Arabidopsis thaliana: one gene and its partners. The protein of the gene in region 1 purifies or fractionates together with the protein of each later gene. This does not show direct contact. Each region holds a gene or a part of one and is shown in the gene's direction. Other genes may lie near its edges.

Evidence for each region.
Region 2: the proteins of AT3G60750 (region 1) and PDE345 fractionate together in Arabidopsis thaliana (co-fractionation; one large-scale study listed by BioGRID). This does not show direct contact.
Region 3: the proteins of AT3G60750 (region 1) and AT2G35040 fractionate together in Arabidopsis thaliana (co-fractionation; one large-scale study listed by BioGRID). This does not show direct contact.
Region 4: the proteins of AT3G60750 (region 1) and AT3G23940 fractionate together in Arabidopsis thaliana (co-fractionation; one large-scale study listed by BioGRID). This does not show direct contact.

What each region holds. Positions count from the first base shown.
Region 1 is NC_003074.8:22,451,922-22,457,984, forward strand, and holds AT3G60750 (Transketolase), read left to right. Parts: upstream 1-1,746; 5' UTR 1,747-2,082; coding exon 2,083-2,565; intron 2,566-2,716; coding exon 2,717-2,807; intron 2,808-2,910; coding exon 2,911-3,016; intron 3,017-3,104; coding exon 3,105-3,387; intron 3,388-3,468; coding exon 3,469-3,617; intron 3,618-3,703; coding exon 3,704-3,857; intron 3,858-3,943; coding exon 3,944-4,903; 3' UTR 4,904-5,537; downstream 5,538-6,063. Other genes in the region: TTN1 (ARM repeat superfamily protein), read right to left, coding at 1-85, 285-387, 543-1,090, 1,189-1,404. UniProt on the Arabidopsis thaliana protein: Catalyzes the reversible transfer of a two-carbon ketol group from fructose-6-phosphate or sedoheptulose-7-phosphate to glyceraldehyde-3-phosphate to yield xylulose-5-phosphate and erythrose-4-phosphate or ribose-5-phosphate, respectively.
Region 2 is NC_003071.7:94,195-98,751, reverse strand, and holds PDE345 (Aldolase superfamily protein), read left to right. Parts: upstream 1-1,888; 5' UTR 1,889-2,260; coding exon 2,261-2,416; intron 2,417-2,528; coding exon 2,529-2,798; intron 2,799-2,893; coding exon 2,894-3,003; intron 3,004-3,106; coding exon 3,107-3,746; 3' UTR 3,747-4,025; downstream 4,026-4,557. Other genes in the region: AT2G01130 (DEA(D/H)-box RNA helicase family protein), read left to right, coding at 4,117-4,257, 4,405-4,557. UniProt on the Arabidopsis thaliana protein: Plays a key role in glycolysis and gluconeogenesis.
Region 3 is NC_003071.7:14,764,613-14,770,092, reverse strand, and holds AT2G35040 (AICARFT/IMPCHase bienzyme family protein), read left to right. Parts: upstream 1-1,774; 5' UTR 1,775-1,823; coding exon 1,824-1,931; intron 1,932-2,005; exon of another isoform or gene 2,006-2,024; coding exon 2,025-2,124; intron 2,125-2,221; coding exon 2,222-2,297; intron 2,298-2,400; coding exon 2,401-2,497; intron 2,498-2,653; coding exon 2,654-2,756; intron 2,757-2,863; coding exon 2,864-2,997; intron 2,998-3,093; coding exon 3,094-3,271; intron 3,272-3,356; coding exon 3,357-3,514; intron 3,515-3,644; coding exon 3,645-3,854; intron 3,855-3,924; coding exon 3,925-4,272; intron 4,273-4,361; coding exon 4,362-4,488; intron 4,489-4,594; coding exon 4,595-4,746; 3' UTR 4,747-4,948; downstream 4,949-5,480. Other genes in the region: AT2G35050 (kinase superfamily with octicosapeptide/Phox/Bem1p domain-containing protein), read right to left, coding at 1-385; URED (urease accessory protein D), read left to right, coding at 5,048-5,146, 5,232-5,297, 5,383-5,457.
Region 4 is NC_003074.8:8,646,925-8,653,138, forward strand, and holds AT3G23940 (dehydratase family), read left to right. Parts: upstream 1-1,744; 5' UTR 1,745-1,855; coding exon 1,856-2,383; intron 2,384-2,481; coding exon 2,482-2,553; intron 2,554-2,653; coding exon 2,654-2,701; intron 2,702-2,874; coding exon 2,875-3,029; intron 3,030-3,198; coding exon 3,199-3,393; intron 3,394-3,470; coding exon 3,471-3,582; intron 3,583-3,666; coding exon 3,667-3,736; intron 3,737-3,822; coding exon 3,823-3,881; intron 3,882-3,989; coding exon 3,990-4,113; intron 4,114-4,207; coding exon 4,208-4,278; intron 4,279-4,357; coding exon 4,358-4,459; intron 4,460-4,670; coding exon 4,671-4,751; intron 4,752-5,093; coding exon 5,094-5,252; intron 5,253-5,348; coding exon 5,349-5,399; 3' UTR 5,400-5,681; downstream 5,682-6,214. Other genes in the region: AT3G23930 (troponin T, skeletal protein), read left to right, coding at 104-494, 568-851; AT3G23950 (F-box family protein), read right to left, coding at 5,984-6,214. UniProt on the Arabidopsis thaliana protein: Functions in the biosynthesis of branched-chain amino acids.

The sequences.
Region 1 (6,063 bases):
TAGCCGCCGCGTTTGATTTGCTTAGCACAGTCACATCATTCAAAACAATAGGAAGCACATCTAGCAACACTTTCCGGCTAGCAGTCTGCCAACATGAGTAGACATATTAGATCCAGATGCAAATTGGAACAGGTTAAGTAATAGAAACCAGTAATATTTCTACAAGATACAAAACAGATAAGTCAAATTGATTATGTACTTTACAGACATCTATATATGTTTGACGTGTTAAGTATGGACCAAAGTTAAAACAAAGAGAATTCCAGGTTACAAACAGAATAAACCTTAAAAATGGCAGATAGAGCTTCCATTACACCAAGCAAGCGAAAGTGGTTCGTGACACTATCTTCCTTACAAGACAAAACTTCATATGTCCACTCAAAAAAGCTGAAACGGAAATGCCACAATAGAATAAAGAAAATTAGTTAATCCATTCACGGTGAGTAAATTGTACATGTTACAATTGAAAACAGCAGTTTAGAAACAATCTTAAGTGTTCAAAGTGAAACAACACTGAAGCACTGATGGTGGTAGGAACAGACCTCGAAAAAGCTTTTCCCATATCCGGACGAGTTAAAAGCTTAGAGAGTAGCAACCCCGATATCCTGCGCATTGGTCCAGCACTGCACAGATAGTCCTTACAGAAACCTAATATCTTCAATACCAAAGGAGCAAGGTCATCCACACCAAAGGTCTTGTCATCAGCAATGCTTGTATCAACAGAAGAAATATCAAACGGAACCAACACAAGGATTGAAAGCCACAAAAGAGTAACACATTTGGCCTCCATTTCTCCAGTGCTTTCTTGCCTCAAGGCAGAAACAGAATTTGTACTATGGCACTTCTCGAGGAGCAAAACGGCGAGTTCCAGATCGGATACTTGATGCGGAAAGAACTTGATAACAGCTTTGTACCCACATACAGTAACTAAAGCATAGATAATGATGCTTATTGGCTTAATAATCTCAAGAATTTCATCAGGTTTGGCCTCTAAATCAACTGTTTTGGAGCGGATGATAAACATTAATGGAGAAACTATACTCTCTAAGTAAGGTTCCACTAATTGACCTTGCTCCTGGTATTTATCCATCTACAATACAACAAAACAAAGTCGGAGAAAGTAAATCAACATGATACTGAAACATGGGTTGGATCAAGTAGATGAAGTCAAAAGACTAAGAAGCGTACAATGGATCGGATCTTATGAACAGAAGTAGGATCAACAACACGGCCATTTGAAACAATATCATCGAGAAGAGATTTAACGAGCTTCCATTCTTGTAAAAAATACCTCTGTAGAACTCTCTCCTTAGAATCATGCTCATCGTCTTCTTCCTCTTCAATTTTTACCGCCGTTTCGATTTCGATCTTCGTCGGCGACATTTCCTCTGCTCTAGATGCCATTACTGGAAAGAGAAAGGGGTTCAATAAATTCCCGCCCGCCGATAATACTCTCAGTGTAGAACCACCGGCAAATCACGAGATCGGTGACGTCGACGATGAGTTTACATGTTAAGGCCCATAGTAATTTATTGGGCCTATATACCCATGTTCCTATTTTGGGCCTATAACCTTCCTCAATGTAGCTTCGTTGGTCTAGATTTTCCATCTTTGGGTGCTTTTATAAACCGGCTTAACCAGAGTTGGTAGGCTTGATACTTGAATCTCTTTCTGGTTTTGTATATTCAAGAATAAGCAAACATTTCCTTAAAAATAACTTTTTTTTTGTCGTACCTCATTTTAAAAAAGATATTTTATCCTATTTCATTATGGCGGAATATCCAAAGAACAAAAAATGGTAGTAATAAAAATAGCGAAAGGCATAGAGGATCACTAAACTCTTAGCCTTAATCAGCGGTCAAGATTATACCTTTTAGTGAGATCCAACGGTCATATTTGATCCAAGTTGTCCCTTAGTGAAAACGAAGAGATGGCGAAATTTTGTTTGATTGGCTAAAAATCAACACACTGATAAAATAAGAGTTGCAGAGAGAGTCTCTCATCTTCTTCATTTCTTCACCACCATCATCACACACCTTCTTCTTCTTCTTCTTCTCTCTCTATCACAAGAGAGTCAAATCCATGGCTTCTACTTCTTCCCTCGCTCTCTCTCAAGCTCTCCTAGCTCGTGCAATCTCTCACCATGGTTCTGACCAACGTGGATCTTTACCAGCTTTCTCTGGACTCAAATCCACCGGTTCACGCGCCTCAGCTTCGTCTCGTCGACGTATCGCTCAATCCATGACCAAAAACCGATCTCTCCGTCCTCTTGTTCGCGCTGCAGCTGTTGAGACTGTTGAGCCAACCACTGATTCGTCGATTGTGGACAAATCGGTCAACTCGATTAGGTTTTTGGCTATCGATGCGGTGGAGAAGGCCAAATCAGGTCATCCTGGTCTTCCTATGGGTTGTGCTCCGATGGCTCACATTTTGTATGATGAGGTCATGAGGTATAACCCCAAGAACCCTTATTGGTTCAACCGTGACCGATTCGTTCTATCTGCTGGACATGGATGTATGTTGCTCTACGCGTTGCTTCATCTTGCCGGCTACGACAGCGTCCAGGTCTGTGATCTCTTCTCTGTTTAATTGCTTTCGATCTGATCGTAATTGATGAATGTAGTAACTTTAGTGGATAGATTGAATCTGTTTTGATATTCATCTGATGGCTGCTTGAAGTAGATTCACTGAAAAGGTGTTTGGATTTGTTTATTAGGAGGAAGATTTGAAGCAGTTCCGTCAATGGGGAAGCAAGACACCAGGACATCCTGAGAATTTCGAGACTCCTGGAATTGAAGTCACTACTGGTTTGAGATTTTGCTTCTTTTGGCTTATGGTTCATGTGAAATTTCACAGAAACTATCTATAACTGTATTTACAATTGTGCTCTCTGCTTTGGCTGCTATGCAGGTCCTCTTGGACAAGGAATCGCTAATGCTGTTGGTTTAGCTCTTGCTGAGAAGCATTTGGCTGCTAGATTCAACAAACCTGATGCTGAAGTAGTCGACCACTACACGTAATATATATAACCCATAGTTATGTTGTCGTTCTTGGTTTGTATATAGCTCTGATAATAGAAATACTGTTTTTGATTGATTGTCTAGATATGCGATCCTTGGAGATGGTTGTCAGATGGAGGGTATTTCTAATGAAGCTTGCTCTCTAGCTGGCCATTGGGGACTTGGAAAGCTCATTGCTTTCTACGATGACAATCACATTTCTATAGATGGAGACACAGAAATTGCCTTCACTGAGAACGTGGACCAGCGATTTGAAGCCCTTGGATGGCATGTTATCTGGGTGAAGAATGGAAACACTGGGTATGACGAGATCCGTGCTGCCATTAAGGAAGCTAAAACTGTTACTGACAAGCCTACTTTGATCAAGGTAACTACACAATTTCTTAACCATCAAACATCGGTTGGTCTAAAGACCTTTGATATTGATTTACCATATTGCGTAATCCAGGTCACTACTACCATTGGTTATGGGTCTCCCAACAAGGCGAACTCATACAGTGTCCATGGAGCTGCACTTGGCGAGAAGGAAGTTGAGGCTACCAGAAATAACCTTGGATGGCCGTATGAGCCGTTCCAGGTACCTGACGATGTAAAAAGGTTAGTAAATCCAAAGCAGGCTTATGTTTGGTTTTATTGCTTTGAAGTTGCCTTGATGACTTACTGTTTGACTTGCACTTCTCTAGCCACTGGAGTCGTCATACACCTGAAGGAGCTACTCTTGAATCTGACTGGAGTGCAAAGTTTGCAGCATATGAAAAGAAGTACCCAGAGGAAGCTTCTGAGTTGAAATCTATTATCACTGGTGAATTACCTGCTGGCTGGGAGAAGGCTCTACCTGTAAGTAGAACTCTCTTTGCATTCTGTACAATTCAATTGGTATTCTAGATATGAGTTATAGAACATCTTTCTTTTTCCTTTTTTAGACATACACACCAGAGTCTCCAGGTGATGCCACCAGAAACCTGTCACAGCAATGTCTTAACGCCCTTGCTAAAGTTGTTCCCGGTTTCCTTGGTGGAAGTGCTGACCTTGCATCATCCAACATGACATTGCTGAAAGCCTTTGGCGACTTCCAAAAGGCCACACCTGAAGAAAGAAATCTTAGGTTTGGTGTTAGGGAGCACGGAATGGGAGCCATCTGCAATGGCATTGCCCTTCACAGCCCCGGTCTTATCCCTTACTGTGCGACGTTCTTTGTCTTCACCGACTACATGAGAGGTGCCATGAGAATCTCAGCTTTGTCTGAAGCTGGTGTTATCTATGTTATGACCCATGATTCCATTGGTCTTGGAGAAGATGGACCAACCCATCAGCCCATTGAGCACATTGCAAGTTTCCGTGCTATGCCCAACACTCTTATGTTCCGTCCTGCTGATGGAAATGAAACAGCCGGTGCATACAAGATCGCTGTCACCAAGCGCAAGACACCATCTATCTTAGCTCTGTCTAGGCAAAAGCTGCCTCATCTTCCAGGTACATCCATCGAAGGAGTGGAAAAGGGTGGATATACAATTTCTGACGACTCTTCAGGCAACAAACCCGATGTGATCTTGATTGGAACTGGTTCTGAGCTAGAGATTGCTGCACAGGCTGCGGAGGTGCTCAGGAAAGACGGCAAAACCGTTAGAGTTGTTTCTTTCGTGTGCTGGGAACTATTTGACGAGCAATCAGATGAATACAAGGAGAGTGTGTTGCCATCGGATGTATCAGCTAGAGTTAGCATTGAAGCAGCTTCGACTTTCGGATGGGGAAAGATTGTTGGAGGCAAAGGAAAGTCCATTGGTATTAATTCATTCGGAGCCAGCGCACCAGCACCCTTACTCTACAAGGAGTTTGGTATCACCGTTGAAGCTGTTGTTGATGCGGCCAAGTCATTCTTCTAAGAGATTTAAGATCGGACCATTCTCTCTGAGGGGGTTTTGTCTGAAACTTGATTTGGAAACAAGGCTATTCACAACATTGTCTCATATCTCGAAATAAAGTGCAACAAGACACAAAGACTTTCACTTTCTTTTTTGTTTTTGTTTTTTGTACTTCAGGTCAAGATAGGTTTTCGGTTTGAGAAGAGAAACAAATTAGAAAGACAATGTAAAACTCCCATGATCATTCGTGTAATGCTAAATGCTTGAATTTCAGCAAAACTTTCTAGCATTTGTTTCTTGGGGTGTAGACTAAATTACCTACATAAGCAGACATAAGCATTGGGTGGACAAGAGAAAACAGGGTTTGGTTCTTCTTTAAGGTATATCTACATTTGGGGGCCCTATTTATCCATATTGAAGGAATGGTGAAGTTTCTACCTTGAGATATCCAAATATCCATATCTCTGGGGGTTTTATCTGAAACTTGATCTGGAAACAAGGCTATTCACAAGAGTGTCTTATATCTCAAAATAAAGTACAACAAGACGCAAAGACTTTCACCTTTTTTTTTTGTTTATTGTAATTTGGGTCAACTAAGGTTTTGGCCTTTTGGGTTTGAGAAGAGAAACGATTTAGAAAGACAATGTAAAACTCCCACTATCATTCGTGTAATGTTAAATGCTTGAATTTCAGCAAACTTCCTAGCAATTGTTTCTTTGGTGTAGACTAAAATGACCTACATAAACAGAGATACGCATTGGGTGGACAAGAGAAATTAGGGTTTGGTTCTTCTTAAGGTACGTTTACGTATATCTACATTTAGGGTCCATAATTATCATAAGAGGAGATATTGAAGGAATGGTCATGTTTCTTCTACCTTGGCATATCCAAATATCCATGTACTAAGCCTAACAACTAACAAGAGATGAAGAAAGCTACGCTTGTCACTCGTCAATTTGTCATTACTCATCACTCATCAGTGACGACAACACAAGTAGGACCCACTACTTGTTGGCATCCCAACATTATAGTATGCTTCAACAGTAAAGAGTATATTCAGATTCCCTTTTTGTTCCGATAGTTAATGGGCTATAGGCCCAGTAAAGCACAATACTGTCCAATGGAATTAAACTCTAGGCCTAGTTAATGACACTAATTTGTAGCTCCCATGCACGTGACAA
Region 2 (4,557 bases), on another chromosome or scaffold:
AGCTTTGATACCAACTGAAGTAGCGGAAGTTTTAATGGATAGAACTAGACATCCGTTGATTCCTCGGAATACCAGAAAACTAGAATTTTTTGGATCTGTTGATTCCTCAGAATAACAGAAACGAGAGAACGTAAGGAATTCGTTGATTCTCTTCGAATACCGAATCCTACATCTTTTTATAACCGTTGAAATCTTTCAAGATCTACCGAAAGCAAGGAATTAGAGAATACTCTTCTCTGAAAAGGTAAAAGCTTAATTTTATTAATCAATTAACTGAATACAATTTTAAGTTCAAAAGTCTTAATTATAATAAATCCAAAATTTTAGAAAATTCATAAAACAATAAATAAAAATTATCTAAATAATTAAATAAAAATATGAGGAAATAATAAAGACAATTTGAAATTATCCAAATATATACTGCATTAGGTAGCATGCGGCTTGCAAGACTATAGTATTTGTTTTAGAAACTATAGGTCTATTAGCTAGACAGAATTAAGAGCTATAGAAAAGTTGTTAAAATTGATAATGCGATGCTTTTTCACATAACTCAAGAAAACCAAATCAAGTTCCGATCCATCATTGTTTGTCGACCAAGGGATGATCAGTCGATAGGTCCACGTACGTTGTTGTTTAAATGAAAATAGTTAACATGGATGTAAATTTAATAAGTAAACAATGAAAATGACAAATGAAGTAGAGAAGATGGAGAAAACAGGACCAAGGGCTTGTAAAAGAATTGCCAAATAAACAACAACGTGGTCCTATCACCTTCTGCTTCTCCCTACGCACCAACCAGTCAACCATACTCAATAGGTTTCATTACAAGACAAATAACACACTCTCTTTTGTCTTTTCTCTTTTTTCGAATGGGAAACACTGACTAGCTTTGTTTGTATATTTAAATCGTTTCTAACAGAGAGAGCGTGGCGAAGTGTGAACACAAACACCTAGAAAGATCTGAGAGTCAATTCTTCTGGGTGACATATGCATGTGAACTGTATGAAGACGCGTTTTGGGGTTTATCGTTTAAAAATCATTAGATATGTGACTGACCAAAGTGTTAATCAAAGATCTGCACCAACACCTTTTACATATACTATATTCTAATACGTAGAGGCAGCGTAGAACACTCTAGAAGAAGTACTAGGTGAATTATGATCGATATGCCATTCATCTGAGAGCAGAGAATGGAACTTTACGCATGTTTAATTAAAACAACTTTCAAACTTGTCTTAAAATATGAAAATTACTAGTTCCTACTCTGATTAAGATAAGATTGGCATTATATTCATATTCTTGTACCTAATATATAATTGAAGCACTTGAACATATTTAGTCATATAGTCTTGAATTTTGTTGTTGTTTTTCCCTTTTTTTGTGGGGTCAAACTGAGTTGCTGTAAATTTGAACATACATATGAATATGCATTTAAATTGTGGCCAACAGTTTTAGAAAACTGTTATCAAATCAAAGATACTTTAAAAATACAAAAAAGTAGTGTAAGATACAAGAAAGAAAAAGTTGCCACTTTCTCATGTCGCATATATATAACGTTTCTCGGAACTTGCATTTTCTCTCTTCTTGTTTACACCTTCCTCGCCTGTTACGAGTAACACCAATATTTGGACTTATTGGATGGTTGCCTTAATAAAAAGGAAAAAAAAAAAGAAAAAGACCCAAGAACACCAAAGCTGTCGTGGGCTCTTATTGTTTATCTGAAACTAAGCCCTATTACTATTGGGCCCAAAAATCAATTACGTAAAAGAGTTTGCCTGTTATATAAGTTGTTTACTATTGTGGCCCAACAGATAAAAAAGGGAATATCCGGCCCATTCTCTTTCATCACACTCCTTGAAGAGGTGATAGGTCATGTAATTTGATTAATTAAGAAAAACGATTGAGTTAGACGAAGAGGCAATGGTAGGAGAAGGATAGTTTGGGTAGACGAAACGGTAGAGTTTTGGTTATTCTCAGATTCTTGTTGTTGAGAGACTGATGAACTACTAGAAAAAATTACCAGTATCTCCCTCAAGGTTAAAAGCGTCATTTACGGTAAATTGGGGAATAAAATGGTAAAGAGAAGGAGGCTTTTTGGTGGTGGGAGTAGGTGATGCCAAAGTAGACGACTACTAATAGTAGTAAACAAAACCTTTGGCTTTAACACTCTCCTCCAAATCCCAGATCTCTCTCTGTCTCTGTCCCGCGGAGTCCCCGAGAGATTGATCACCATCACTTTTGTACCTTCCTTGTACTACCTATGGCGTCTGCTAGCTTCGTTAAGCCTAACACCCTCTCTTCTCCATGGATCGGCCAACGCTCCTTTGCTCACACCTCTGCTTCTTCTTCTCCTCCTCCTCGAGTCTCCTTCGCGATCCGCGCCGGTGCTTACTCCGACGAGCTTGTTAAAACCGCCGTGAGTATCCTCCTTATCCTCTCTCTCTCTTTGATGCTTTATTAGTTTGGATTCGTTTCCGTAATTCTCAAAGTCAAACGTAGAGTGAGATTCTCTGATTATTGCGTAATAGAAAAGCATTGCATCCCCTGGGAGAGGTATCTTGGCGATCGATGAGTCCAATGCAACCTGTGGGAAGAGGCTTGCTTCTATCGGCTTGGATAACACCGAGGACAACCGTCAGGCCTACAGGCAACTTCTGCTTACCACTCCTGGCCTCGGCGATTACATCTCTGGTTCCATTCTCTTCGAGGAGACTCTTTACCAGTCCACCAAGGACGGTAAGACCTTTGTCGATTGCTTGCGCGATGCCAACATCGTCCCTGGCATCAAAGTTGACAAGGTATTTTTTATCCATTTATTCTGTCATCATCATCATAAGTAGTTGAGTTTTTATGTGTGTTGAGTGAAGTGTTGACAATGCAATCCACCGCGTAGGGCTTGTCTCCCCTAGCCGGTTCCAACGAAGAGTCTTGGTGCCAAGGCTTGGATGGATTGGCCTCACGCTCTGCTGAGTACTACAAGCAAGGCGCTCGTTTTGCCAAGTGGTATGTCATATATTTCACCATGTTATCTTACATATGGTATTAACTCTTTGGTTTGATGTGAAAATGCTCTTCCTAGTTTTGATGTTTGTGTGTGTTTGTCTAGGAGGACAGTGGTGAGTGTTCCCTGCGGTCCTTCAGCACTGGCTGTGAAGGAAGCTGCGTGGGGGCTGGCTCGCTATGCAGCCATCTCTCAGGATAATGGTCTTGTCCCCATTGTGGAGCCAGAGATCCTTCTGGACGGGGACCACCCAATAGAGAGGACTCTGGAGGTGGCAGAGAAAGTGTGGTCAGAGGTGTTCTTCTACTTGGCACAGAACAACGTCATGTTTGAGGGCATTCTGTTGAAGCCGAGCATGGTCACCCCAGGCGCTGAGCACAAGAACAAGGCCTCTCCCGAGACCGTTGCAGATTTCACGCTCACCATGCTGAAAAGGAGGGTTCCTCCGGCTGTCCCAGGGATCATGTTTCTGTCAGGAGGACAATCAGAGGCAGAGGCCACACTGAACCTGAACGCCATGAACCAGAGCCCAAACCCATGGCATGTGTCCTTCTCATACGCACGTGCCCTGCAGAACTCCGTGCTCAGAACATGGCAAGGCAAGCCGGAGAAGATTGAGGCCTCGCAGAAGGCACTGTTGGTGAGGGCAAAGGCCAACTCACTGGCCCAGCTCGGCAAATACTCAGCCGAGGGAGAGAACGAGGATGCCAAGAAAGGAATGTTTGTCAAGGGTTACACCTACTGATTTGTTAATTTCAGAGATCGTAATAAGGATTAAGGACCATTGTTGTCTTTTGTTTTTTTTTCCCTTTTTTGTTTTGTCTCTGAGAAAGAAAGACAGTCACGAGTCACGATCATATCATATATGTATGTGAGCAACGTGAAAACATCCTCTTAAATCTATATTTCCTCTCAGAAAGACTGATTACTGTTTGACTGCAAAACCAAATTGTGTAATTCTTCTTTTAAGTTTACAAAATTTTTGGAGGGCGATTAGGTAAAATTGGCATAGTTGCAAGTTCAGTGTTAGAAGAAGCAGCGGAGATCTCTCTCCCTCTTTATAGTTTACTTTTGACTTACAGTAGAGAGAGTTTAGAGTTTTGAATTTGGCTCCGATGACGAATCGTCTTCCTCCTTCGCTGTACGTTCCGCCTCACCAGCGCCTTGGTTCCGATTACGGCTTCAATCCTGTTCCTCTCTCTCCAGTTCGCTATGTCTCCGCTTATGATGACCGCGTTTCCGAGGATCGCCAACCGGTTAACTTCTTCTTCATCTTTTTTTCATGCATCTCTGAGCTTTTTGATTGATGCTCTTACAATGGCGATTCTAGTTTTCGATTTGCTCTCGAGTAGCATTTTATAAAAATCCCTTTATCTTTCTACTGGAACCATATCAATTTGCAGCAGGAGGGTACCTTTCACTGTGCCGACTTGGATGATTGGAATAAGAGATTTTCAATGCTTTTGAAAGATTCTTTAAAGCAAGAAGTTATTTCCAGGGAGAAAAAAGATAGACGGGATTTTGATAAACTTGCTGCTCTGGCTACAACCCTGGGA
Region 3 (5,480 bases), on another chromosome or scaffold:
CGTGCTCAAAGCTCTGACGTTTTTCTTCTATGTTAAGCACTGTAGCGTTAGGGCCACTCTCTGACATTGGATGAACCATTCCCAGAGCACTTAAGTTAACAGAAACAGGCATACCACTGTGCTCACCATACACATTTGGGATGAACTGCGGTTTCATAATAACCCTATCTCTCATAAACTCAAAAGCAAATTCTTCACCGGTCTGTATTGAGTAGTTTAGCACTGGCCGAGCAGGGGTTGAAACACCATAATCTGGAGGTCGTACATAAGTGTTAACATTAGTTGAAGAGTCGTGGGAAAACCTTTGATTAATGGAGCCAAGTCCCTCATCTCTAGGGTCAGGGGCAGTATACCGAACATGTTCATAACCTTTTGCTTGATCCATGTTTTCTTTCTCAAGGTGTCTATCTATCTAGTTCATAAGCTCCCTCACAAACGCTTGTAGGCGACATATCATGATCATGACCCAAGTAAAATCTTTGCATAAGCATCCTTCGCAAATTTCTAACGTTTTGGCTGCAGAACAGGACGACTTCTATCATGAACAACTCAAACTCTCATTGAGGTGCCTGAAATAGGAGAAGAGTAACTTTACTCAAGTAGTCAAACATATTCAAGAACAAAAAAACCAAAATAGCATACGGCTAAAACTCAGAAAACCATACTATTTAAGGAACATTTTCGGTATACAAACCAATAAAACTCTTTACTCTAGCAGGGACAGATCATCCAGTACAAATATCTGACTGTGCATACTTTCCAACATGAAACTAGCTAAAATGACTACTTTCTAGTCTCTTCAAGTTTAAACTAACAGGAATCGCTGAAACTAAAATCGATCAACTTCACCAAACTATTAGCAAACCCATCGTAACTTTGAGAGAGTGTAAATCAACAGATCAAAACATAGAACTAAATCCAAAATTCAATCAAGTCCGTGAAACAATTCCAAACCTCAAAAAGGAAACAAATAAGCGTCATTTCGAACCAAAAACTGAGCTAAAAACCTCTACCCAACCAAAAAACAAAAGCCGATCAAGCCATCAAAACCACTGAAACTCTAGAAAATGCAAGATCTGAGTATCATTACCCGAAATTCAGGTGGAAACACATCGGATCCAGAGATTTTCGATAATAATGATCAAAATTCAAAAACAGCATACACCTAAAAGGAAGACGAGTAAGCAAAGAAGGAGAGAAGTAGAGAAAAAGGTTTATACCAGGAAAGGCGGCACCAGAGACTGTGAAGCGTCCTCGGTTTGACGATCGATGAGTAGGAGAAGAAGCCAAGTCCTTCCTTAAAATCTCTCTTCTAATTTTGACAATTCGAAAAACAAAACTATATTCTCGAGAAAAAAACTATTATGCCTACCAATAAAATAATTGTTATCTACTTACATTATTTAAAATTCTGAAAAGCAAATAAAATATCATATAAAACATAAGAAGCTTTCGTCATCTCCATAGTTAGTCTTTTGTAATATTACCACTCTGATCCAATAAAGTTTTATTTCTTACTAATTAGTTTACACTTGAGAATTTTGGTTTCTACTAAATTTTTTAAAATTTGGAGTTAAAATAGTTTAGTTTTATTTTTGGGGGAAATAAAAAGAGAAGCTTTATTCCAATTTTCCAAATATTCCAGGTGTAATCTAACTGTCAAGGCCATAATAATAAATACATAATTCCACCTGACGCCAATAATAAATTACATATTTTCCTTTTTTTTTTATTTTTTTTTCTAATTTATTTCCAAAATTAGCCGCAAAATCACAAAACCTAACAGAGCTCAACACTACACACTGTTTCAAAATCAGACTACTATGCTCAGCTCAGCCGCCACCGCCACCTCCGTGAGTGCTCGCTCCGGCGATATTCTCTGCGGCTTGTTTCGCAAAAAATCCGTCGCGCCTTTTCGTTTTACTCAGCCTGTGAGTTCTCCTCTGTGTGTGGACGTGTTCCTTTGTGTCTTTGTTTCATGTTCTGCTAAACTTTTTAATATTAGTGGAATTTTCAATGAGCAGGTCTATCGTACGTCGCTGTGTCCAAGTTTCGTTGCTGTTCGAGCCATGGCAGAGTCTCAGACTGCTCAGAGGAATCAGCCGCAATCCTCAGGCTCCTCTGGTTTACAATTTTTCTTTTTGCTGCAATTTCAAATTCAGTGATCGATTTTCAGTTACGTTTTAGTGATTTTCAAATAATCGGGCTTTAATTGAATCAGGGGAGAAGCAAGCTTTGATATCTCTATCTGACAAGAGGGACTTGGCTTCTCTTGGCAACGGTCTGCAAGAATTGGGGTATGTGTTCTTCACAACTCTCTCTTACTTAGAACTATACAAATTTTGGTTTTGTTTCTATCTTATATGTAAATGATTCCTTTTTTCATTGATATTTGTGTAGATACACTATTGTTTCTACTGGAGGAACTGCCTCTACTTTGGAGAATGCTGGAGTCTCTGTGACCAAAGTGGAGAAGCTTACTCATTTTCCAGAAATGGCATGTTTTTCTTTTCTCTTATGCTCGCTGCTCTTGCTAAAAGTTTTGGTCTTGTGATCTCGCTGATATTTATATTTAAGTTTTGGTTTATACCATTGTTTTGTTGAGTTTAGTATATTAAACTTAGCTCTCCTTTTTTTTTTTCTTCTCTTAAAGCTTGATGGCCGTGTGAAAACTTTGCATCCAAACATACATGGTGGTATCCTCGCTAGAAGGGATGTGGAGCATCATATGGAAGCTCTTAATGAGCATGGGATTGGTGAGTTTTGACCTTTGATTGATCCTCTACATTAAGCTTGAGACTAAGTCATTTATAGTGTCTCCTTATGTTTAACTGTACCTTTTTTTTTTTTAATTCTATGACAGGTACATTTGATGTTGTGGTTGTCAATTTGTACCCGTTCTATGAAAAAGTTACTGCTCCAGGTGGGATCAGTTTTGAGGATGGGATTGAGAACATTGACATTGGTGGCCCTGCTATGATTAGAGCAGCTGCTAAGGTAATACATATATCTGTGCATATGAGACTTTTTCTTTACACTTGCAAGATTATTTTCAAGATTATAAATGTATATTTTCTATTGTTTTTTCAACAGAACCACAAAGACGTTCTCATTGTTGTCGATTCAGGAGATTATCAAGCTGTTTTGGAGTATCTCAAAGGAGGACAGAGCGACCAACAATTCCGCAGAAAACTTGCGTGGAAGGCCTTTCAGCATGTTGCTGCATATGATTCTGCGGTTTCAGAATGGCTATGGAAGCAGACTGAAGGAAGTATGTGATTGTTTTTATGTGATCCTCCTTACACTAGTTATGGCAATTGGCAACTTACATTGATTGATATTCATGTCTTTCTCAGAAGAGAAGTTCCCTCCCAGCTTTACAGTTCCGCTTGTACTTAAGAGTTCTCTTCGTTACGGTGAAAATCCTCATCAAAAAGCTGCATTTTATGTTGATAAGAGCCTTGCTGAAGTGAATGCCGGTGGTATCGCAACAGCGATTCAGCATCATGGAAAGGTAAGAAAGTATGCTACTTTTTCTGTCCGGTGTAATTTACAGAGCAAATAGTTTTAAACTGCCATTTATATCCTTATCCTCGCTTTCAAGCCTTATTATGTTTAACTTTTCTATTTATTTCTGTGAGCAGGAAATGTCATACAACAACTATCTTGATGCTGACGCTGCATGGAACTGTGTGTCGGAATTTGAAAACCCAACATGTGTAGTCGTGAAGCATACAAATCCTTGTGGTGTGGCCTCTCGTGATGATATTCTTGAGGCTTACCGGCTAGCTGTAAAAGCTGACCCAGTTAGTGCCTTTGGTGGCATTGTAGCTTTCAATGTTGAAGTTGACGAGGTAATCAAAAGTCAAACTACTGTTGTCCCATACATTATTCAATTGTTTAGTGATCTGTAACTGTCTCTAGGTTCTTGCGAGGGAGATCCGAGAGTTCAGGAGCCCAACAGACGGGGAAACTAGAATGTTTTATGAAATCGTGGTTGCTCCAAAGTATACTGCTAAAGGTCTTGAAGTCCTCAAAGGGAAATCAAAAACTTTGAGGATCCTCGAAGCTAAAAAGAATGACCAAGGGAAACTATCGCTCAGACAGGTTGGTGGCGGCTGGTTGGCTCAGGACTCGGACGATTTAACTCCAGAAGACATCAGCTTCAATTCTGTCTCAGACAAAACTCCGACTGAAAGCGAACTTGCGGATGCAAAATTTGCCTGGCTCTGCGTTAAGCATGTCAAGAGCAATGCCATTGTGATAGCAAAGGTTGGATTTTCCTCTCTGATTCCTTTTCTTGTTTCTCTTTCTGTACTTGTTTGCTAGTAGTTTATTCTGATTCTTGGGTTGGCTCATAGAACAATTGTATGCTGGGGATGGGAAGCGGACAGCCAAACCGAGTAGAGAGTCTGAGAATAGCTTTCAAGAAAGCTGGGGAGGAAGCTAAAGGAGCTGCCTTGGCCAGTGACGCATTCTTCCCATTCGGTATATATATTTTTCTCTCCGAAACCATTCTTCTGTCTGAAATGACTCATCAATCAACAAATGTTAGCCGTTCTGAATTGGAAATTTGTTGTTGTGTGAATTGCAGCTTGGAAAGATGCGGTGGAAGAGGCGTGCCAGATGGGAATAGGAGTGATAGCAGAACCTGGAGGCAGTATTAGAGACCAAGACGCTATTGATTGCTGCAAAAAGTATGGAGTCTCTCTGCTCTTCACCAACGTTAGACATTTCCGCCATTAAGGACACATCCCTCCAGTTTTGCTCTTATAAACACATCCAAGAGAGTTTCTGAAGAAGAAAACCCACCAAACAAAACACAAAGAGTGGGAAATAAAACTGTTGTAACATTAATTTGGATTGCGTTCGAGTTTATGTATGATTAGAACCTGAGAGCTGTTCCTACTTATAAATTTGACATTTTTCACCCAAAATCATATCTTTCTCTACATCCAGAAACTGATGAGATTTGCATATAAAATATTCAACATTTCTACTCAAACTGGAGTGAGAAAGTCGACGACAGTGTGGAGAGAGATCAGAGATGGCGACAGGGAAAGTGGTGGTGGAGAAAGTGGGAGGAAGATCTACAGCTACGAGCTGCTTCTCGAAGTATCCTCTCAAGTTCTTACTTCCTAGCAAGGTCTCCTCTCTCTCTCTACGTAGAGTTCACAGTTTCGAATTTTCAATCTTTAGTTATTAAAGTTCCGGCGACACTGAACTTTCAGGCAGCTCCTGCTGGAACTGACGTTGTCTGGATTTACAGTATCACTTATGGTGGCGGCATTGTCTCTGTATTTCCCTATTTCTCTGTCTCTTTATTAATGAATTTGCCATCGATGCGCTTGAATCAATCTAGTTCTTGTTCAAATTATGTAGGGCGATTCGATTTCATGTGAATTCACAATTGGTGATGGATGCACTGCAGTTATTACAACGCAGTCTTCTACTAAGGTTGAATCAATTTAGGGCTTTTC
Region 4 (6,214 bases), about 14 Mb from region 1:
CAAGAACACAGCTTTCAGAGAGATAGAGTGAGATTCTCCTTCATTAACATATTCTTCTTCATGTTATAAGAAGAAGAAGAAGAAGTGTCCAAAAGGATTAGAGATGGGTGGATGCACAAGCAAGCAAGAGAGGAGAGGTGTGAGAAGTGTGAAGGAGACATCAAAAGACCAAAGCAGAGGAAGAAGACACCTGATAAAAGAGAGAGATGAGAGAGAGAAAGTGATGTTTCTTCAGCTTAAAGAGGCGGAGAGAGAGTGGAGAAAAGAGAGGAAGAAGCTGAGAGAGGAAGTGAGAAGACTAAGGAAGAAGCTAGAGGAAAGAGAAGAAGCAAAGACAACAACAACAGAGGAAAGAGAGTATTGGAAGTGGGTGGTTGAGGAGATGTGTGTAGAGAGAGCAGTGAGAGATGAAGCCGTTGAGAAATGGAAACAACTCTATTTAGCTATCAAGAATGAGCTTGATCATCTCATCTCCCACACTACTTCTTCCTCCGGTAAAATAAACTCAACTTATTTCAACTTAAAATTAGAAAAAGTAAATAGGATCTTTAAAGTGTGTGTTTGTAGGAGAAGCAATCATGCAAAGGAAACTTGAGGAACAAGAAGAAGAAGAAACAGAAGCAAAGAGAGTTGAAGTATTGAGAGATGAAGTTAGAGTTAAAGAAGAGACAGTTGAGACACTTGAAGAGCAAATAGTTTTGATGGATAGACAAAAGTATGAGAAAGAAAGAGAGATTGACTTATTGAGACAGAGTCTAAGGATTCTTGGAAGCAAGAAGAAAAAGAAGACAGGATCATTCGCATCAATGAATCTGTTGATATTGAAGACCAAATGTGTCGAATGTACATAAACACTTTTTACTCAAATAGTCTTCTGCAAACAGTCATATCTCGTCAGAGAATCTTGATCCACAATGTCATATTTATTTCTCTTTTGGTTATTTTACAATTTTTATTTTGGAAATATAGTAAATCATAGCACTATGAGTTCAAAAAGCACATGTCCCATGAAAGATTTGCACAAATCGTTTTTTTTTTTTTTTGTTGGAGTTAGATACAATTCTTTAGCAATAATGATAATGAACCATTTTTCCAAAGAACAGAAACTGTGGAAAAAAACTTACTAGACACTAAAAGTCTAAAACACCACTTGCTTTTTTATAGCCCAAGAAACTTCTAGTTCTAATTAAGAATGTCCAACTTCCGGTTCGGTTACTGAAAATTATCAAATTTTTGTTAGATGAGATAAAGAAGTGAATCCTACAAGAAATATATCATGTGGTTCGGTTTGGTACAATTTTGATTTCTGCTAGGGTTTTATCCTTTTTAGCAAAATTTACTTTAATTTCCGTAGTAAAAAAGAAGAAGTTTTAGTTGGTTTATTTCTTATTTTTGCTTCGATTACGGCATTTAATTTTAGCAATATTTCATTAACAAAAAAAAACAATTCTAATTGGTTTATTTCTACTTCTTTTTCTGTCTTGGTTTGATCTCTATTACTATATTGATTATGAAAAAAATATGAAACCAAAACCATTTATTATGTCTTCAATTCCATTTTTAACCCAATTATTTCACTACAATTGTAATAACCGGTTATTGCACCCCTAATTATAACTATTTAAGCAATCGCATATACCAAACCAGCGAGTTAAACCAAATTGTTTCCCAAATTATGCTAAACGACAGCGTTTTCACAAATTACCAAAAAAACCTATTTTTCTGTATCTATCTGAATTCAGAGTCCTGACCATTTTATCTCACTCTCACAAAGTCTTCACTTTTGAAGTGTCTCCTCCACACGCACTGCGCCGCCAAAAAACCCTTCTTTAAACCCTTTCCTCCTCGCGCCGTCATGCAAGCCACCATCTTCTCTCCACGCGCCACTCTCTTCCCCTGTAAACCTCTCCTCCCTTCCCACAATGTCAACTCTCGCCGTCCCTCAATCATCTCCTGCTCCGCCCAATCCGTAACCGCTGATCCTTCACCACCTATCACTGACACCAATAAGCTCAACAAATACAGCTCAAGAATCACTGAACCCAAATCCCAAGGTGGGTCTCAAGCAATTCTTCACGGTGTTGGTTTATCAGACGACGATTTGCTAAAACCCCAGATTGGTATCTCGTCGGTTTGGTATGAAGGGAACACTTGTAACATGCATTTGCTGAAATTGTCTGAGGCTGTGAAAGAAGGAGTTGAAAATGCAGGAATGGTTGGGTTTAGGTTTAATACTATTGGTGTGAGTGATGCTATTTCGATGGGAACGAGAGGGATGTGTTTTAGTTTGCAATCTAGGGATTTGATTGCTGATAGTATTGAGACTGTTATGAGTGCTCAGTGGTATGATGGTAACATATCTATTCCCGGTTGTGATAAAAATGTGAGTTTTTTTTTTTTAATCATCGATCTTTGTGTTGTCTTTATCTCCATGTTTTATGTGATTTGTTTGCTATAATGTTATTGTTGTAATACTTTTAGATGCCTGGAACTATTATGGCTATGGGAAGGCTTAACAGACCAGGGATTATGGTTTATGGTGGAACCATTAAGGTACTTACTTTTATCAAATTGATGAGAAGATAGTTTCTTAAACCCTAAACCCTTGTGCCTAGTTGGATAGCCTATTCACCTTGCTTTGATATTATTGCAGCCTGGCCATTTTCAAGACAAGACATATGACATTGTATCTGCTTTCCAGGTATCTTTTCTTCTATCTGCTACGAGCTTGGTTATAACAATTTTAATGTGTATTTATGAGACTTCATTGAGTTTTCCAATTTTGGGATTGAGTTACAGAAATCTTGGTGACTTTGGTGTCAAATTGTACCAGTACTTGTGGGATTCATCATGTTTTCCAATTTTGTATTTCAGAGTTATGGAGAATTTGTTAGTGGCTCCATAAGTGATGAACAGAGAAAGACTGTCCTCCATCATTCATGTCCTGGAGCTGGAGCCTGTGGTGGCATGTACACAGCGAATACAATGGCTTCTGCTATCGAAGCAATGGGAATGTCCCTTCCTTACAGGTGAGGCTTTCAGTCCTGAAGACCACATTTATAAATCAACTTCAAACGTTTTCCCAGATTTGTGCTTAATAGAAAGTTATTTCCACAAGAACATTGTAGATCCTAAACTGTAATTGTGGAATGCTTATTTCAAAAGTTCATATATTTGCTTCTTCTTTTTTTTTTGAAGTTCTTCAATACCTGCTGAAGACCCATTGAAGTTGGACGAGTGTCGCTTAGCAGGAAAATATCTTCTAGAATTGCTAAAGATGGACTTAAAACCCCGTGACATTATCACTCCAAAATCACTTCGTAATGCAATGGTTTCCGTCATGGCCCTTGGGGGATCGACAAATGCAGTATTGCATCTAATTGCTATTGCAAGGTGACAGATTGTTATGATGTTTCTTATTATTACCATGGAAAGCAATGGACCGAAGTAATGAATGGAAATGATTTCAGGTCTGTTGGTTTGGAGTTGACTCTTGACGATTTTCAGAAAGTTAGCGATGCGGTTCCATTTCTAGCAGATCTTAAACCCAGTGGGAAGTATGTTATGGAGGATATACATAAGGTAAGGCTTTGGCGAAATCGTTTTGCTTATTACTTATCTGTTTTTTTATTGGTCAGTTTGTAAGTTTTGTTGTTTAATCTACAGATAGGTGGTACGCCAGCTGTTCTCCGCTATTTATTAGAGCTAGGATTGATGGATGGTGATTGTATGACAGGTAGAAATGCTCAAACATTTTATAAACTGACTTAGCAATTTGGATTGATGTGAAATGGCATAACTACGCTTTTGTATCTCTACCAGTGACAGGGCAGACTTTGGCTCAAAATTTAGAAAACGTCCCAAGCTTAACAGAAGGGCAGGTATTTGTAATGTTATTAGTTATCTCATTAGATTCTACCGCCTGTTTCTTCTTGATTATGATGGTTGTTAGTTATACAGGATTCTAATTAATTCTGATAATGTTCCAGGAGATAATTAGACCTCTGTCAAATCCAATCAAGGAGACTGGACACATACAAATTTTGAGAGGAGACCTTGCACCAGATGGTTCTGTAGCAAAAATTACCGGCAAAGAGGGCTTATATTTCTCTGGTAATGTTGGTTCACTCTAGTACCTCCTTTACACTCCATATTTAGCTAATGCTTCTGAATATTAGGGCTTATATGATGGAACTATTTATTTTAGGTCCTGCACTTGTATTTGAAGGAGAGGAATCTATGTTGGCTGCTATATCAGCAGACCCAATGAGTTTTAAGGTAATTTCCTTTCTGATATGAAGTTCATCTCAGGAGCTGGTTATATATCTTTTATCTGATGAAATGTATCGTGTTTCAGGGAACTGTGGTTGTTATCAGAGGAGAGGGGCCTAAAGGAGGTCCAGGTATGCCTGAGATGTTGACACCGACAAGTGCAATAATGGGTGCCGGTCTTGGAAAGGTATGATATGACCAGTATGACTGGGTTAGTGAGACATTTATTAAGTCTGATCAATTTTTATGTTCTAAATTAAAGAACTCGTTATTTTTCCTTTGATATGGTCTGACTATATTATGCTTATGGTAGTGACCTAAATCTTTTTATCTACTTTGTCCATATCCGAGAACACACCTTATATAAAGTGCCAATATGTTGCTATTGGGTGATGCAGGAATGTGCATTACTGACTGATGGTAGGTTCTCTGGTGGGTCACACGGTTTTGTTGTTGGCCACATTTGCCCTGAAGCTCAGGTCTCTCTCTCTCCCTTTTTTTTTTCTCTCTGCCCACTGGCTCCATCAGAGCAAAATTCTAAATTTTGCACTTGCAAGATAAATTTGATAGATCCATGTCCCTCTTCTGGGATATTTTTCTTGTGTATTGAAAAATAAATGCTACTGGGTCATAGTCATATATAGTTTTAGCAAAAAGGAACAAGGGTCAAGGGATCCTGTAATAGTTTGTGGTGGCTCTTATGCAGTTATGATGATTTTGGAATATTTCAAATAATAAAACTGATATTAATGTGATTGGAGAATGTGAAGATAATAATGCTGAAAGCAATTCTCCGGTGTGCTTACTATTTATCTGTGCAGGAGGGTGGTCCGATCGGTCTGATCAAGAACGGAGACATAATCACCATTGACATAGGAAAGAAGAGAATAGACACACAAGTCTCACCCGAAGAAATGAATGACCGTAGAAAGAAATGGACTGCTCCTGCATACAAGGTTAACCGCGGAGTCCTATATAAGGTACTATACGAATCCACTTGTATCTATATAATGTATGTCTCTTTGACATCTGATGGATTAGTTTCTAATGAATGGTTTATGATATTCTAAAAACAGTACATCAAGAACGTGCAATCGGCTTCAGATGGATGTGTGACTGACGAGTAAAGTGAACGATCTAAGAGAGAGTTTTGTGAATGAGCAGCAGAATGTAGTGTACGTTCATGAGGGAATTTGTAAGTTTATTTATTGTAGCTTCTAGATCATGTTACTTTGTGACTGATCATTAGCTATTTGCAGGGTTCGTTTTTAAGATTTTGTTTCTCTTAAATGTCAAAATAAAAACTTGTGATTGTGGCCGAATTCCAAAGAATATAAAGACAGAATAAAGACGGATTTGCATAAATACTTGTCTATGAGATTGAACTTAAGAGCCAATGTGGCAAACCAGCTATGCGTGAATAAGCTTGACGTTCTCTACATGGTTTAGAAAGATGTGAAATCCACTAACCTTAAAGGCTTGGGTTCCTTGGATTTCAAGTCTTTTCATCGTCTTTCTCTCGTTTCTGTAGGAGACAACATAAGGGTCATAAGAATAGTAAAACTCGAGCATGGTAATTAATATTTGATTCGACCAATTTATATCAAGGTGCAAGTATTTGTCTCAAAGGCTCGAGCATGACATCTCACAGAATTGTAAAATCATTCACATTTGAAATTTGATATCAAACTTAAAACAGAATCAATATAAACTAATTAGAAGGCTGTGGACGAGGGAGACGGGACAACCAACGAGGGAGAACATACTGTGAAGCGAGGAGAAGGTTAGGACCACCTTGAAACGATGGGGAAAAGTATCTATGAACGGTCTCCATATACTCGTTGCACCAGTTAAAGCTCAAGGTGCAACCATCCATACACTTCCTCTCGTCTTCGGATTCCTTGTGAAGACTAAACACATGCGTCCTCAAGTTAAACAAGAC